Linked DNA regions of Oryctolagus cuniculus. The protein of the gene in region 1 purifies or fractionates together with the protein of each later gene. This does not show direct contact. Links are inferred from orthologs where the notes say so. Each region holds a gene or a part of one and is shown in the gene's direction. Other genes may lie near its edges.

Region 1 (3,523 bases):
CCATGTTGGGAGACCAGAATGGAGTTTCTGCTTCCTGGTTTTGGCCTGGCTCAGTGCTTGCTGTCATGGCCATTTGGGGAGTGAATCCCCTGGGATGAAAGACCTCCTTCTCATTGCCTTTTGAATAAATCAATCAATAAATTTTTAAAAAAAGACTCTCCATTTCCCCCTCACTCTATGTTATAGAAGTTCTGTAGTGTTGACAGGGTGTGTGGTGGCAGGAAGAATAGAAACTTGAAAGTTTTTTTTTTTTGCCTCTTCTGGGTACAGTATTTTAATATTAGACCCCTTTATAATTTAGAACTTATAATTAACAAAGATCCTCTTAAAAATCATAAGCTACTTAGTATGTAACTAGCTCTACATTTAAAATGATCTAATATAAATGGCAAACATGCTAGAAAAATACAAGGATGATGAGAAAGGAAGATTTTTCTACTATTACAAGTTTAAGGGTATAGTTTTTTAAGAAACTTCAATAAGTTTTAAATATTAGAATAACTGAATTACTGATGCATTTGCTGTGACCCTGAGAATCTAATTATTAACAAATTCCTCAAAAAATAAAAAATGTTAAAAAAGAAAAGGCATTTATATGGTCCCTAAAGAAAATGATGCTTAAATGTTGTAATTATTTTCCCTCACTGTGTATACGCCATTTGCAATGGCTTGCTAGTCATTTCTGAATAGATGGAAAGCCAGGCATCTGCAACCATATGAAAGTGGGAGCAGGAAGAACCTTAAAGCCCTGTGTCATTGACATTTGTCTCTGAAAGTTATTAGCTCTTCATCTGTTCTCTTCCTTGACCTCTTTTCCCCCCATATATTTCCTTTTATTTGAATAATCTTGAAGGTTATACTTTCTGCATAGTAAAAATTCTACTACCTGGAAGCCTAAAAAGTTTGGATAAATGCTCATAGCTTGAAAAAAGGCTTGTGGAAATTATTGCAAACAATCTAAAATGTAGACTGTTCAAATTTATATCATCAGCTATTACATATTAATTGACCAGTTTTCACCAATAAAATCACTTATTTTTTGTCACTGAAGCCAATAAGCACTCCTGACATTACAAATAGCTCTGAGAACCTTTTGAAGGCATTCTTCCAAAGTGTATACTTGTTCTGTATACAAACATTGGTCTGCAGCAAGGCCAGACCACCTGCTGCCTCTAACACTGCTCTCAAAGCTTTAACTAAATGTGATTACTACTGCTTGTCACTGGATGCTGTGGCCCTTCAAGTAGGAATTTCTTTCAGTGTGCTGGGAAGTAAGCTAGGGTCTTGCTTGCCACAGTGATTTTTTAGTACAGGGTGGGTAGCCAGGGCAACTTCAGATCAGTAGTGTTATTTGGTTACAGTCCTGTCTTTTTCTTTAACAAAATATCTAAACTGCCTTAGATAATAACAAAGGCATTTCTCACAGTTCTGGGGTCTGGAAGTCCAAGTTCATGAACCCTGGTGAAGACCAACGTCCTGGCCCCCAGAGTGGTACCTTCTCACCGTGTTTTCAGTGGGTAGAGGTGGTGAGCTCTGATCTGTTTGGCCCCTTCCAAGGTCGCTAATCCCGTCCACCAGGCCCTTCTCAGCCAGTCACCTCCCAAGGGCCACGCCTCCTAAGATCACCTTGAGGCTGAGGCTTCAACACAGGAGGGTGGGGGTACTAGCGGGGTCACAAACATTCAGACCACAGCATATCTGTTCATTCTTTTCCCCAAATCTGAAACCCTTGACTCCATATAACACCACCAGCTGTTAGCATAAGACAGATTGTTCTAGCATTTTCTCTACTGAAGGCAAGAACGGAGGAGAACGTGTGGCACTGACGGCTTTGGGGTCTCCTTTGACTTAGAATACGGCTACAGCACCGTCGCGGTGGCGCTTCTCACGCTGGGCTCCATGCTGGGGACGGCGCTGGTCCTTTTCCATGGCTGTGAGGAAAACTACAGCCTCGTGTTACAGCTCTTTGTGGGCTTGGCCGTTGGGACGCTCTCTGGGGATGCCCTGCTGCACCTTATCCCTCAGGTAATCTCTTTTCCATTGCAGATGGAGCTGTCTGAATTCTCTTGATGTTCAACCACTGCAGGTACCTGCGCAAAGTTTTACAGCAACTTGAATGAGGAATGAGGAATGGGATGGCCGGTGTTGTCTCTGGAAAGAACTATTATTTCCCCAAACTTCTGCCCTTGTAGGAGAGGAGATGACCAAACACTAGGTTTTGCCACTCATTTCTTCTAGTGTTGAAATAGTAATGAAAAAGACAGGGGATCGGATCCAGATTGCTGTTAATAAAGATTCCAGAAGCATATGTAAGAATCATCTACAAATGGAAAAGTATAAGCTGAAAAGACATTGTGCTAGTTTTGTTTTTAGCTTTGTCTCCTCCCAACCCTGCTCAGATCATTCTTTGTCTTTCTCTGCTGCCTCTTCTGTTCCAGAATGTTCTGTCCCCTCCGCTCCCTTGCAGGCTGGCTGTTTGCGTTCACTCAATGTGCGGCACAGTGGGAAACCCAGCACAGGAGGAGCAGAGGCCGGGAACTGTCTGCCCTGGCTCGGCATCTGGTCTAGAAGTAGCTGCGGGGCTGTGACCAGCTCACCCCTCCCTGATGTCATTTCCTCCCTCTGCCCTTCGGCCCTGAGGGTGGTAGTGATTGGGGCTTGTTGGGTGCCGGGGGCCCCATTTTCGCTTGTTCTCACCCTTGACTCTGCCACCTCCACAGCGGTTCCATCACCAATGCCTCTGCTTTGGAGCTATCCGGATGCATTTCTCTTTTTTGCTAACTAATGCTGTCTAGATTTCCCCTAAGAAAAATGGAGAGAAGCACGGGGAGGCTTGCTGTTTGTCAGGAATGACAGGTCTAAGACGTGCGATGTGAGAGTTGGGGCAGAAGGCTTTGTGGATGACGTTATGTGTTCCCCCTGAAATCGCTGACAATGGATAAGGACAAGAGACCCAGGATATCCGCCCCACCTCCCTACCCCTGACACACAGCTTGCAAAGCCTGAGATGTTAAAATTTTCCATAAGCCTCTGGCAGTTTCTGCCAGGGTCACTCTCGTTGCTTAGATGCTCAGTAATTATTCAATGTTCCGAAAAAGGCAGAGTGAGCATTGGAGAAACACAGCAAACCATTATTAGTTTTAATTTCCCTCATAATCTAATCTTCTGGAAATATTTCGGGGCTTATTGCTGGCTTGGGACGATGGCCAGGGCCCTGTGCTAGGTCATGGTGATGGTTGCAGAGCTGTTTCCTGCCCAGGGTCCTGGGATCAGCAAAGGGACGGCGAGGCTGCCAGAGAGGGAGCACACAGCCAGGGCCGGGTGGTGAGGGTGAGGGTGAGGGTGGGCCTTGGGGGTGGGTGGTGCATGTTACAGAGGTGAACTTCAAAGATTAGCTTGGTTTCATGAAATTTAGAAGGCAGCTTTTTGCTCAGGGAAAGATGAGGACCGATGTTACTAAAAAGCACAAGTATGATGACAAGCTAGAAAAATCAGTGGCTCTTGAAAGTAACCCATGGCGAGA
Region 2 (4,021 bases), on another chromosome or scaffold:
TTTCAAAGTATCTTTACAAAGCTAAGGAGCTACTGAACTTCTAAAGGCATTTCCAATTTATCTTTGTCAGTTGCCAAGAGTTTGCAAACTGCCGGCGCCGTGGCTCAATAGGCTAATCCTCCACCTAGCGGCGCCGGCACACCGGGTTCTAGTCCCGGTTGGGGCACCGGATTCTGTCCCGGTTGCCCCTCTTCCAGGCCAGCTCTCTGCTATGGCCAGGGAGTGCAGTGGAGGATGGCCCAGGTGCTTGGGCCCTGCACCCCATGGGAGACCAGGAAAAGCACCTGGCTCCTGGCTCCTGCCAGGATCAGCGCGGTGCGCCGGCTGCAGCGGCGGCCATTGGAGGGTGAACCAACGGCAAAAGGAAGACCTTTCTCTCTGTCTCTCTCTCTCACTGTCCACTCTGCCTGTCAAAAAAAAAAAAAAAAAAAAAAGAGTTTGCAAACTGACACAAATGTTTACATTACAGAAGTTAACCTTGGAATAAATAAGCAAATAATCTCTCTGTTGTAGATCATTTGTAAAATTAATACCATAGTAAAGAAAACCAAAGCTGTGAATCTAAATTTGTGAAACGGTCCTTTATTCTTTCCTTTTACCTTTTCAGGATGAGTTGAGTTAGTACTTAATTTGGGTTCCACAACGACCAATGTTTCTTTAAAACGGATTTCCTGCCATCAGATAGTTTTATTTGCTTTATAAAAATCTAACCTGTCATACAGATTTCTAACGAGTAAACAGTTAATTTTTCACTTAGTCTCAAAGCAAACATAAAATAGTTGTTTCCTATTAAAAGTTAATTACCTGAATGCCCTTTTTTTTTTTTTTTTACAGTGAAAGCTTCCTGGATAAGTAGTTGCAAGTCTAAAGAACGTAACTGTGGCTTGCTCCTTGTTCTTTTGCTCTTATATTCCTTTATGACACTTCCAGGTGAGGAGAGGAACCTTGCCTTGCGTCGTGGTCGGACTACGGACACAGGCAACGGTCCTGGGCGCCCAAGCGAAGCCGTTCCCCAGGCCTCAGGGAGCCTGGCGCCCTGGCCACCGGGACTCGAAAGCTCAGCCTTGCCCTGCTGATGACGCGAGGCTGCGGCTTCGGCCGCCCTCTTCCAAGATGGCTGCGGGCCGGCGCCCGGGACGCTGGGCCGGCGGCACCGGGGGCGGGGCCTGGCCGAAGCTGGCGGGGCCCGGCGCTGATTGGCCAGCGCGGCAGACCCGGCCCGCTGCTGATCCGTAGCCGGCGCCACGGCCTGGGGCTGGGATGTGAGGGGCGGCAGGCTCCGGGCTCCCCGGCGGCGGCGGCGGCTGTGAGCAGCAGGGGCTGCTGCGAGGCCGACGTAGGCGGGCGGGCGAGGCCAGCGGGCGCCGTGGGCGGCCGGCCCTGTCGGCCGCGGGATGAGGAAGCGGACCGAGCCCGTCACCTTGGAGCATGAGCGCTGCACCGCCTCGGGCTCGTCCTCTCCGGGCTCGGCCGCCGCGGCGCTGGACGCCGACTGCCGCTTGAAGCAGAATCTGCGCTTGGCGGGCAAAGGGCCGGCCGAGCAGCGCAGCGCAGCCGACGCGGGCATGAAGCGGGCGCTGGGCAGGTGAGGCGCGGCGCAGGGGGCCGGGAGCCCCCGCACCTGGCCCGCAGGTGCGGCTCTTTGGAAGCCCACGACCCCCCACCCCTCCTCAGGCTATCCGCCTGCAGGAGCGCCTCCACCTGCCCCTCACTCCAGTGTCCTCTTGGCGACCTCTCTGCAACCCCTCACCTGGCCCTCCGGTAGCCCTTAACATCCCCCTGCATCTTCCTCCCGGTTCGGAGAGCCCCCTGCCCACCTCCTCACGTGTCCGGCGCCCTTTTCGCGCCCTCCACCCCGCGGCCGGCAGCGTGAACCCGGCATTGCGTCCCTGCCCCTTCCCGGCTGAGTCGGGGTCGCGGGACTCCTTACGCGAAGGGTTTGGGGGCGGCCCGAAAGTCGCGACCGGGCAAGGGCGAACAGCACTGGGGTTGGGGGAGTCCCGGGGCGCTGGGCACGTAGGCGGCGGGACGCCGAGGGGTCGGCCCCGCAACCGAGCGCCCCTCACCTGTTCTGGCTCCTGTTTTCCTTGGGCGCGGAGCTGGCGGAGGGGAGCCCGGAACTGCTGGACCTCCGGCCAGGGAGTGTCAGCCGCAGGCGACCTGCGCTGTCCAGGACGGAGAGAGCAAGGATGCGCCGCATCTCAGCGGCTACAGGGCGGGCTGTGTTCGCGGGCAGGTGTCTGGCGCCTGGAGTCGGTGCACACGGCTGGGTGTCCTTGGGCATCGCTGCGGAGTGCTGAAGCCTTCCTTGGGGAAGAGGAGGCAGGCGGTTGTGTAAAGCTGGTGCTAAAGCCGAGGCAGGAGCGTGTTTCTCAGGGACACTGTGCTGCTGGCTTCCTTCGGATCTGGCTGGTTGCGGAGCGCGCTGCTCCTGGCGGTTTGAAGCCTGGCTGTTTCGTGGCGTGGTGGAAGAAGTTAGGATGCGATGTTTCTCAAGGGTGATGGAGTCGTTTCCTTTGGGGTGAGCTGGGATGCCCTCCGTCGACACTGCTCGCTTCCATGTTAAATGTTTACGCAGACAGCCCCTAAAGAAAATGGAAATTTCAACTTCGCTGCTTAAAGGTGAAGCCAGGGATGCCCCAGAATGGGTTCTCATTCCTGCCGGGAGGCAGGGGCAGTTTTGGCTTGTGTGCCTGTGAAATTATCTAGCAGCTCATGAATGTATTGTGTGGAACTAGTTTGTTCTCTGCGGTGGGAAGGCTTGTCTGCATTAAGGACTCATGATTAACCCTAATGCACTTTAACAGGCTTAGCATATCTCCTAGATAAGACAGAAAGTTCCTCCTTTGGAAAAAAAAATCGAATTGTTATGCGCAATAATCTTCAGGGAAATAATGCTGACCTGGCACGTTCCTTGAAGCACGGACTGTCTTAAAAGGACCTGATTAATTCTTGGTGGTGTGTCAGAGAACAAAGAGAAACAGTCAAGTAGGCCAGGGATCCTTTGGATAAATAAACAAACGGCTGTAAGAGGAATAAAAAGCAAGACCCGGGGAAGGAAGGCTAAAAAGTTGTGCAGTATTTCAACACGTGCCCGTGGAGCAAACTGAACACATCAGGCAGTCGGCGTCCCCACCTCCCCAGCCTTCCCACCTCCCCGGCCTTCCCCTCACACAGGCTGTGCTACATTGCTGTGAGCTGCAGTCACCCACTGCGCTGGGGAACTCTAGAACCTTCTACCCCAGCTGACTGTGTTGCCCAGTCGCCCTCCATCTGCCCTTGCCCAGCCTTACCAGTCTCCGGTAATAACTATTCTAAGTTCAGGTCAACTTCTTTATTTTTTAAGTATTTATTTATTTTATCTATTTGGAAGTCAGAGTTAGAGAGAGAATCTTCCACCCACTGGTTCTCTCCCCCAATGGTCCTGATGACTGGTTTGGGGCCAGGCTGAAGCCAAGAGACTGGAACTCCATCCAGATCTCCTATGTAGGTGGCAGGGGCCCAGGCACAGCTGCTTTCCCAGGCACAGTTGCAGGGAACTGGATCAGAAGTGGGGTAACTGGGACTTAAACCCAATGCCCATATGGGATGCCAGTGTTGCAGGTACCAGCTTAACCTGCTACACTACAAAATTGGCTCCTCAGATTGACTTTTAACTTTTGGATATTCTTTTTAAACTTTTAAAATTTATTTTATGTTAGAGAAAAGGAAAAGGAAAGGGCGCACGCGCGGGCGCGCAAGAGAGAAAGAAGGTCTGTTCTGTTGTGCACTCCCCAAATGCCTGTAATAGCCAGGACTGAGTCAGGCAGGAAACAGAAGCCAGGAACTCCACCCAGGTCTCCCACATGAGTGGCAGGGACCCAGGTACCTGAGCTGTCACCTGCCTTCCAGGGTGTGCATTAAGCAGGATACTGGGATCAGGATCTGAGCCAGGACTTGAACCCAAGAACTCCCAATATAGAATGCGCGCATCCCAAGTGGTGTGTTACCCACTGCCCCAGCCTGCTGCAGCTTCCGTGAA
Region 3 (4,312 bases), on another chromosome or scaffold:
ACGCCCACCTGCCCCTGCCGCCTTCCCTGGCTCCAGGGGAAGCCAAGACTGGCCCGCAGCTTTCTCCCCAGGGAGGCTACCGAGGGGACGTGGGGCCTGGGTGCTGGTGGCAGGTGCACAGCAGGCCCAGCCGGGGCGTCAGGGACTCTCTCAGGGGTCTTCCAGGGTCTCCAGCCCCACTGCGACCCTCGGGCCTGTCGGGTGTTCGGTCCGGACTCCCCCTCGTCCCTCCCTCGGGACTGCATTTCTTTGCCTTTTGTCGTCCGCTCAGCTCTGTCGCTCGGCCTCCCTCTATGTCTTGGCCGCGGCCCAGAGGGGTAGGTGCAGGTGCCCTCGGCAAGGGGCCGTGGGGGCGCTGGAGGGTGAGCGCAGCATGGGGGCGGCCGCCGCACCTGCCAGTCCGGGCCGGGCCGGGCGCACACCTCCGGAGGCTCCACCAGGGGGCGCCCACGTTCCGGCCCAAGGTGCAGGGCGCGGCGCCAGGTGAGACTCCCTGGTTACCTGCGCTTCCAGGCGCTGACAGGTGTTCGCCGGTCTCCGGCTCCTAACCCAGCCGGCTCAGTGATGGGGGCGGGGCTTCAGCATTTATTGAGCGCCTACTGTGTGCAGCAGTGAGCAGGGCCGCCCTAGAGAACCCGGGAGGAAGACGCCCAGAAAATTCCAGCTCCCCTGGGATGGGAGACCACGGGAGGGCGGGGCTGGGGCCGCCTCGGATCGGGGACCCTCTGGGAGGCGCTGACCACGTCGAGGGGCCGGGGAGCGGCTCCTGGTGCTCTGTGGGCGGAGGGTCTGGGGTAGACCCCCCCCCCCCTGCGTCTTGGCTCCAGGGTCCTCAGAGACCCCCTCATGTCCCCTGTGGCCCACAGAGGAGCTACACGGAAGGGCTCAGCTCAGAGCTGGCGGGGGCTGGGGCAGCCCCGTTGCTCCAGCCACCTCCCCCCCCCCCCCACTCCCTTTGGGCCTGGATAACGCTGGACACGGCCTGGCCTGAGATTTCTCCCCGGAGCTTGCCCCGAGGGGGCTTGCTACCACGATCAGGAAGCGTCGTGGACTTCAAAGCTTTGTCCACTTCCTGGCTTGAAGCAGGGCCGCGTCGGCTTCTGGACCCTGTGGGCCTCCTGCCGGGCTGGGCGAGGACCAGGTGGCTGGGGCACGGGGCTGGCAGAGTTTTGCGCCTCCACGTCCGCCCTGCCTGGTAGCCCTCTGGGCAGCGTGGACGCCTCCTTTGTGGCCAGTGTTTAACGAAAGCAGAAGTAAAAGGGACGCTGCTCTTAGGGAAACAGCGCGCCCTCCAAAAAAGCCGGTGGACAACGGAAGGCCCTGGCCTGCGGCCCGGAGAACTACAACTCCCAGGATGCCACGCGCCGCCGGCGCCCGGGAGCGCGGCGGCTCGGGGCGGGGCCTCGGCGCGCGCGCGTCATGACGCGCGACGGCGACGTCGGGGTTTGTGTGCGCGAGAGGCCGCCGATAAAGGTTGGGTGCCTCGCGCCGGGGGCCGCCGGGAGGGAGCGCGCCCCCGCCCCCCTCCCCGGCCCCCTGTCCCGCACGGCCGCCACCGGGGCGCCCCCTTCCCGTCGGCCCCCGCGGGAAGGCTCTGGGGCTCCCCGCCCTCGTTCCCCGGGTCGGGGCCGCAGGTGAGACCCCGCGGGGTGGGAGTGGGGGGAGGGACCGGAGGGCGGAGACGTTGGGGAAGCGGTGAGCGTGAAACCGGAAGGGGTGCCTTAAAGGGAAGGTCGCTATTTTACCGCCGACTCGTGCCCGCTGGGCCGGCGCCGCCCTCTTAAAGGGCCAGAGGCTGCGTTTTACAGAAGCCGCCCCTCTTGTTTGTTTGCCCCCTAAAAGGAGTTGTCTTATTAAAAGGCCGTGACGGCTGCGTAGGTAATGGCAGGAAAAGCTCCCCGGCCGCTCAGTGGCGGCGCCCTCTTAAAGGGGCAGTCCGACCTGCTGGAAGGGCGTGAACCGGCCTTGTAGGGGCCGGCTCTGCTCCGTGCACCAGCGGGGCCGCGGCCGCTGGGACCCCAGCGATGCTCGGTCTTCTTAGAGGCGCACCAGCTTCTGGGCACGCACGGGTCCCCGCAGAGGCCTCGCCTACCGTTTCGGGGGGGTGCTCATTCATTCGTTCATTCATTCATTCATTCATGCTTCAGAGGGATTCGTTCCCTGGACACAGGCCCCCGTTTCTGCGGCCTGGGGAAACCGTGGCCGAGGCCGCACCCTGGGTGGTCCTCTGCACGCTGGGGCGGCCCTGCAGCAGGGGCTGCCGCAGTCGGTCTTGGGGGCGGTAGGCGAGGGTTGAGCAGGCCCCAGAGTCAGTCTGGTGACATCAGGAGCCAGTGTGGTGGTCCCGGCTGCGGGGGCGTGGTTGGCGCTGGCGGCGTGCACAAAACAGCCCCACGGGACACTCTGGCCCGGCCACCGCCGAGGGGACGAGTGCCATGGAGACACGGATGAGGCTGGGGCAGAGACTGGGGAGTGTCGGCAAAGACTTGGGGGTGAGGTGGGGGCTGGGGACGCCGGCAGGTGCCCCAAGGAGGGAGCAAGCTGGCGGCCGGGGTGACCCGCAGCCGAAGGCATGGAGGGGACGGGGCCGCAGGCTCAGAAACGGGACCTCTGGGAGGTCTCAGGGCAGCGGAGTGGAGTGGCCTCCCTGGAGCTGCTGTGCCGGGGACAGGTGGGGTTAGGAAGGGAAGGGGCAGGGGCAGGGGCAGAGGCCTGGTGCGGCCTCCGGGAGAGGAGGTGGCAGCACACAGGTGGGCCTCCAGAAGTGGCCGGCTTCCGCAGGGGACCCTGCTGGCGGACCGCCTCGGAGAGCCAGGGGGAGAGAGGCGGGCGAGGAGGGCCCGGCGCCCCTGGCTGCCACCTTCAGACAGAAGACGGGGCTGAGTCCGGGCTGAAGCGGGCGCAGGAAGCTGGGGTGGGGTTGGGCATGGGAAGTCCAAGGTGTGCCACGTGGCACAGCCCGGCAGGGGTGCGCAGCCCTGGGAGTGGGACGGCTCCCGGGGAGACTTGTGGGAATGCGAGGGCACAGGCATGGAGGGCAGTGGGCTCCTCGTGGGGGAGGGGTCTCAGCATTCTCCACGGCGTGGGGGTGGTCCTACCCCCTGCAGTGTTGAGAAGGACCCTTGGCCTCACCCCAGAGGCCGGCAGCACCTGCCCTGCAGTTGAGAGACAGCCGGGGCTCCCCTGGGAGGTGGGAGCCGCTGGCTGGAAGCTGAGGGCTTCCTCTCCGGATTGCTTGTGTTTTCCCCGGAGCCGGCGTGGTCCGTGGCGGGGTTGCCCGCTTAGAGCAGGAGAGGACGGGGTGCTGGAGTCTGGGGAGAAGAGAGGCTGCCAGGGAGCCTCAGAGCGGGGTGTGTGCAGTGGGGCCAGCATAGGCTGGGGGAGGGGCTGTGAGAATGGGGGCGGGACAGTGGCACAGGGCCCGCAGCAGCAGGGGCCACAGACCTGCTGGTGTCCAGGGATTGGGGGTTCAAGAGGGAGTGAGCGAGGAGGCAGGGTGATGGTGGCTAGGGGGACTGGCTGGAGGCCAGGGCCCTGCAGAGGCTGTGGGCAGACGGAAGGCTTAGGGCGAGGCCGGGCCGCAGCCCGTGTGGGGGCGCAGGCGGGTGAGGTCTTCAGAGGACGCGGCCTGGCTGTGCGGGCAAGGAGCACAGGCCTGCCGGCCGCGCCCGGGCTGCTCAGTCCGGGGAGATGGCCAGCGTCGCGAGGGTGACCCGTTGTCCCAGTGTGTCGGGCGGTTTCCATTTTGACACTGGCAGCCTCTTTCCTGGGCAACCCTGGGCTGCTGGGAGCGCACATCCCACGGGAGGCCCCCCGCGGGGTGGGTGGCCGGGGAGGCGGCCAGTGTGGCCTGGGGCTGAGTGTAGCGCCCGCCGCTGACCCAGAATCCCTCCGCCAGGTGTGATGGTCGGCTCCCACGCGGACATGGCGCCTGCCTCCACCGCGGAGGGGGCCGGGGAGAAGCCGGGCCCCGCGGCCCCCGCAGCCCAGTATGAGTGTGGGGAGTGCGGCAAGTCGTTCCGCTGGTCCTCGCGGCTGCTGCACCACCAGCGCACGCACACGGGCGAGCGGCCCTACAAGTGCCCAGACTGCCCCAAGGCCTTCAAGGGCTCCTCGGCGCTGCTGTACCACCAGCGGGGCCACACGGGCGAGCGGCCCTACCCGTGCCCCGACTGCCCCAAGGCCTTCAAGCGCTCGTCGCTGCTGCAGATCCACCGCAGCGTGCACACGGGGCTGCGCGCCTTCACCTGCGGCCAGTGCGGCCTGGCCTTCAAGTGGTCGTCCCACTACCAGTACCACCTGCGGCAGCACA

What was found.
Region 2: the proteins of SLC39A12 (region 1) and ABHD12 purify together in Homo sapiens (co-immunoprecipitation; 3 studies listed by BioGRID and IntAct, counting the BioPlex papers as one, with this or other methods). This does not show direct contact. The link is inferred for Oryctolagus cuniculus from reciprocal best matches to the Homo sapiens genes SLC39A12 and ABHD12.
Region 3: the proteins of SLC39A12 (region 1) and NAT14 purify together in Homo sapiens (co-immunoprecipitation; 3 studies listed by BioGRID and IntAct, counting the BioPlex papers as one, with this or other methods). This does not show direct contact. The link is inferred for Oryctolagus cuniculus from reciprocal best matches to the Homo sapiens genes SLC39A12 and NAT14.

Annotation. Positions count from the first base shown.
Region 1 is NC_091444.1:44,135,037-44,138,559, forward strand, and holds part of SLC39A12 (zinc transporter ZIP12), read left to right. Parts: intron 1-1,852; coding exon 1,853-2,025; intron 2,026-3,523. UniProt on the Homo sapiens protein: Uniporter that promotes Zn(2+) import from the extracellular space to the cytoplasm across the cell membrane. The transport activity is temperature dependent. May play a role in neurulation and neurite extension.
Region 2 is NC_091442.1:49,780,124-49,784,144, reverse strand, and holds the start of ABHD12 (lysophosphatidylserine lipase ABHD12), read left to right. Parts: upstream 1-1,219; 5' UTR 1,220-1,394; coding exon 1,395-1,585; intron 1,586-4,021.
Region 3 is NC_091449.1:3,483,266-3,487,577, reverse strand, and holds the start of NAT14 (probable N-acetyltransferase 14), read left to right. Parts: upstream 1-1,501; 5' UTR 1,502-1,634; intron 1,635-3,903; coding exon of another isoform or gene 3,904-4,312. Other genes in the region: ZNF628 (zinc finger protein 628), read left to right, coding at 3,904-4,312. UniProt on the Homo sapiens protein: Probable acetyltransferase. May act as a transcription factor that regulates the expression of coproporphyrinogen oxidase by binding to a promoter regulatory element.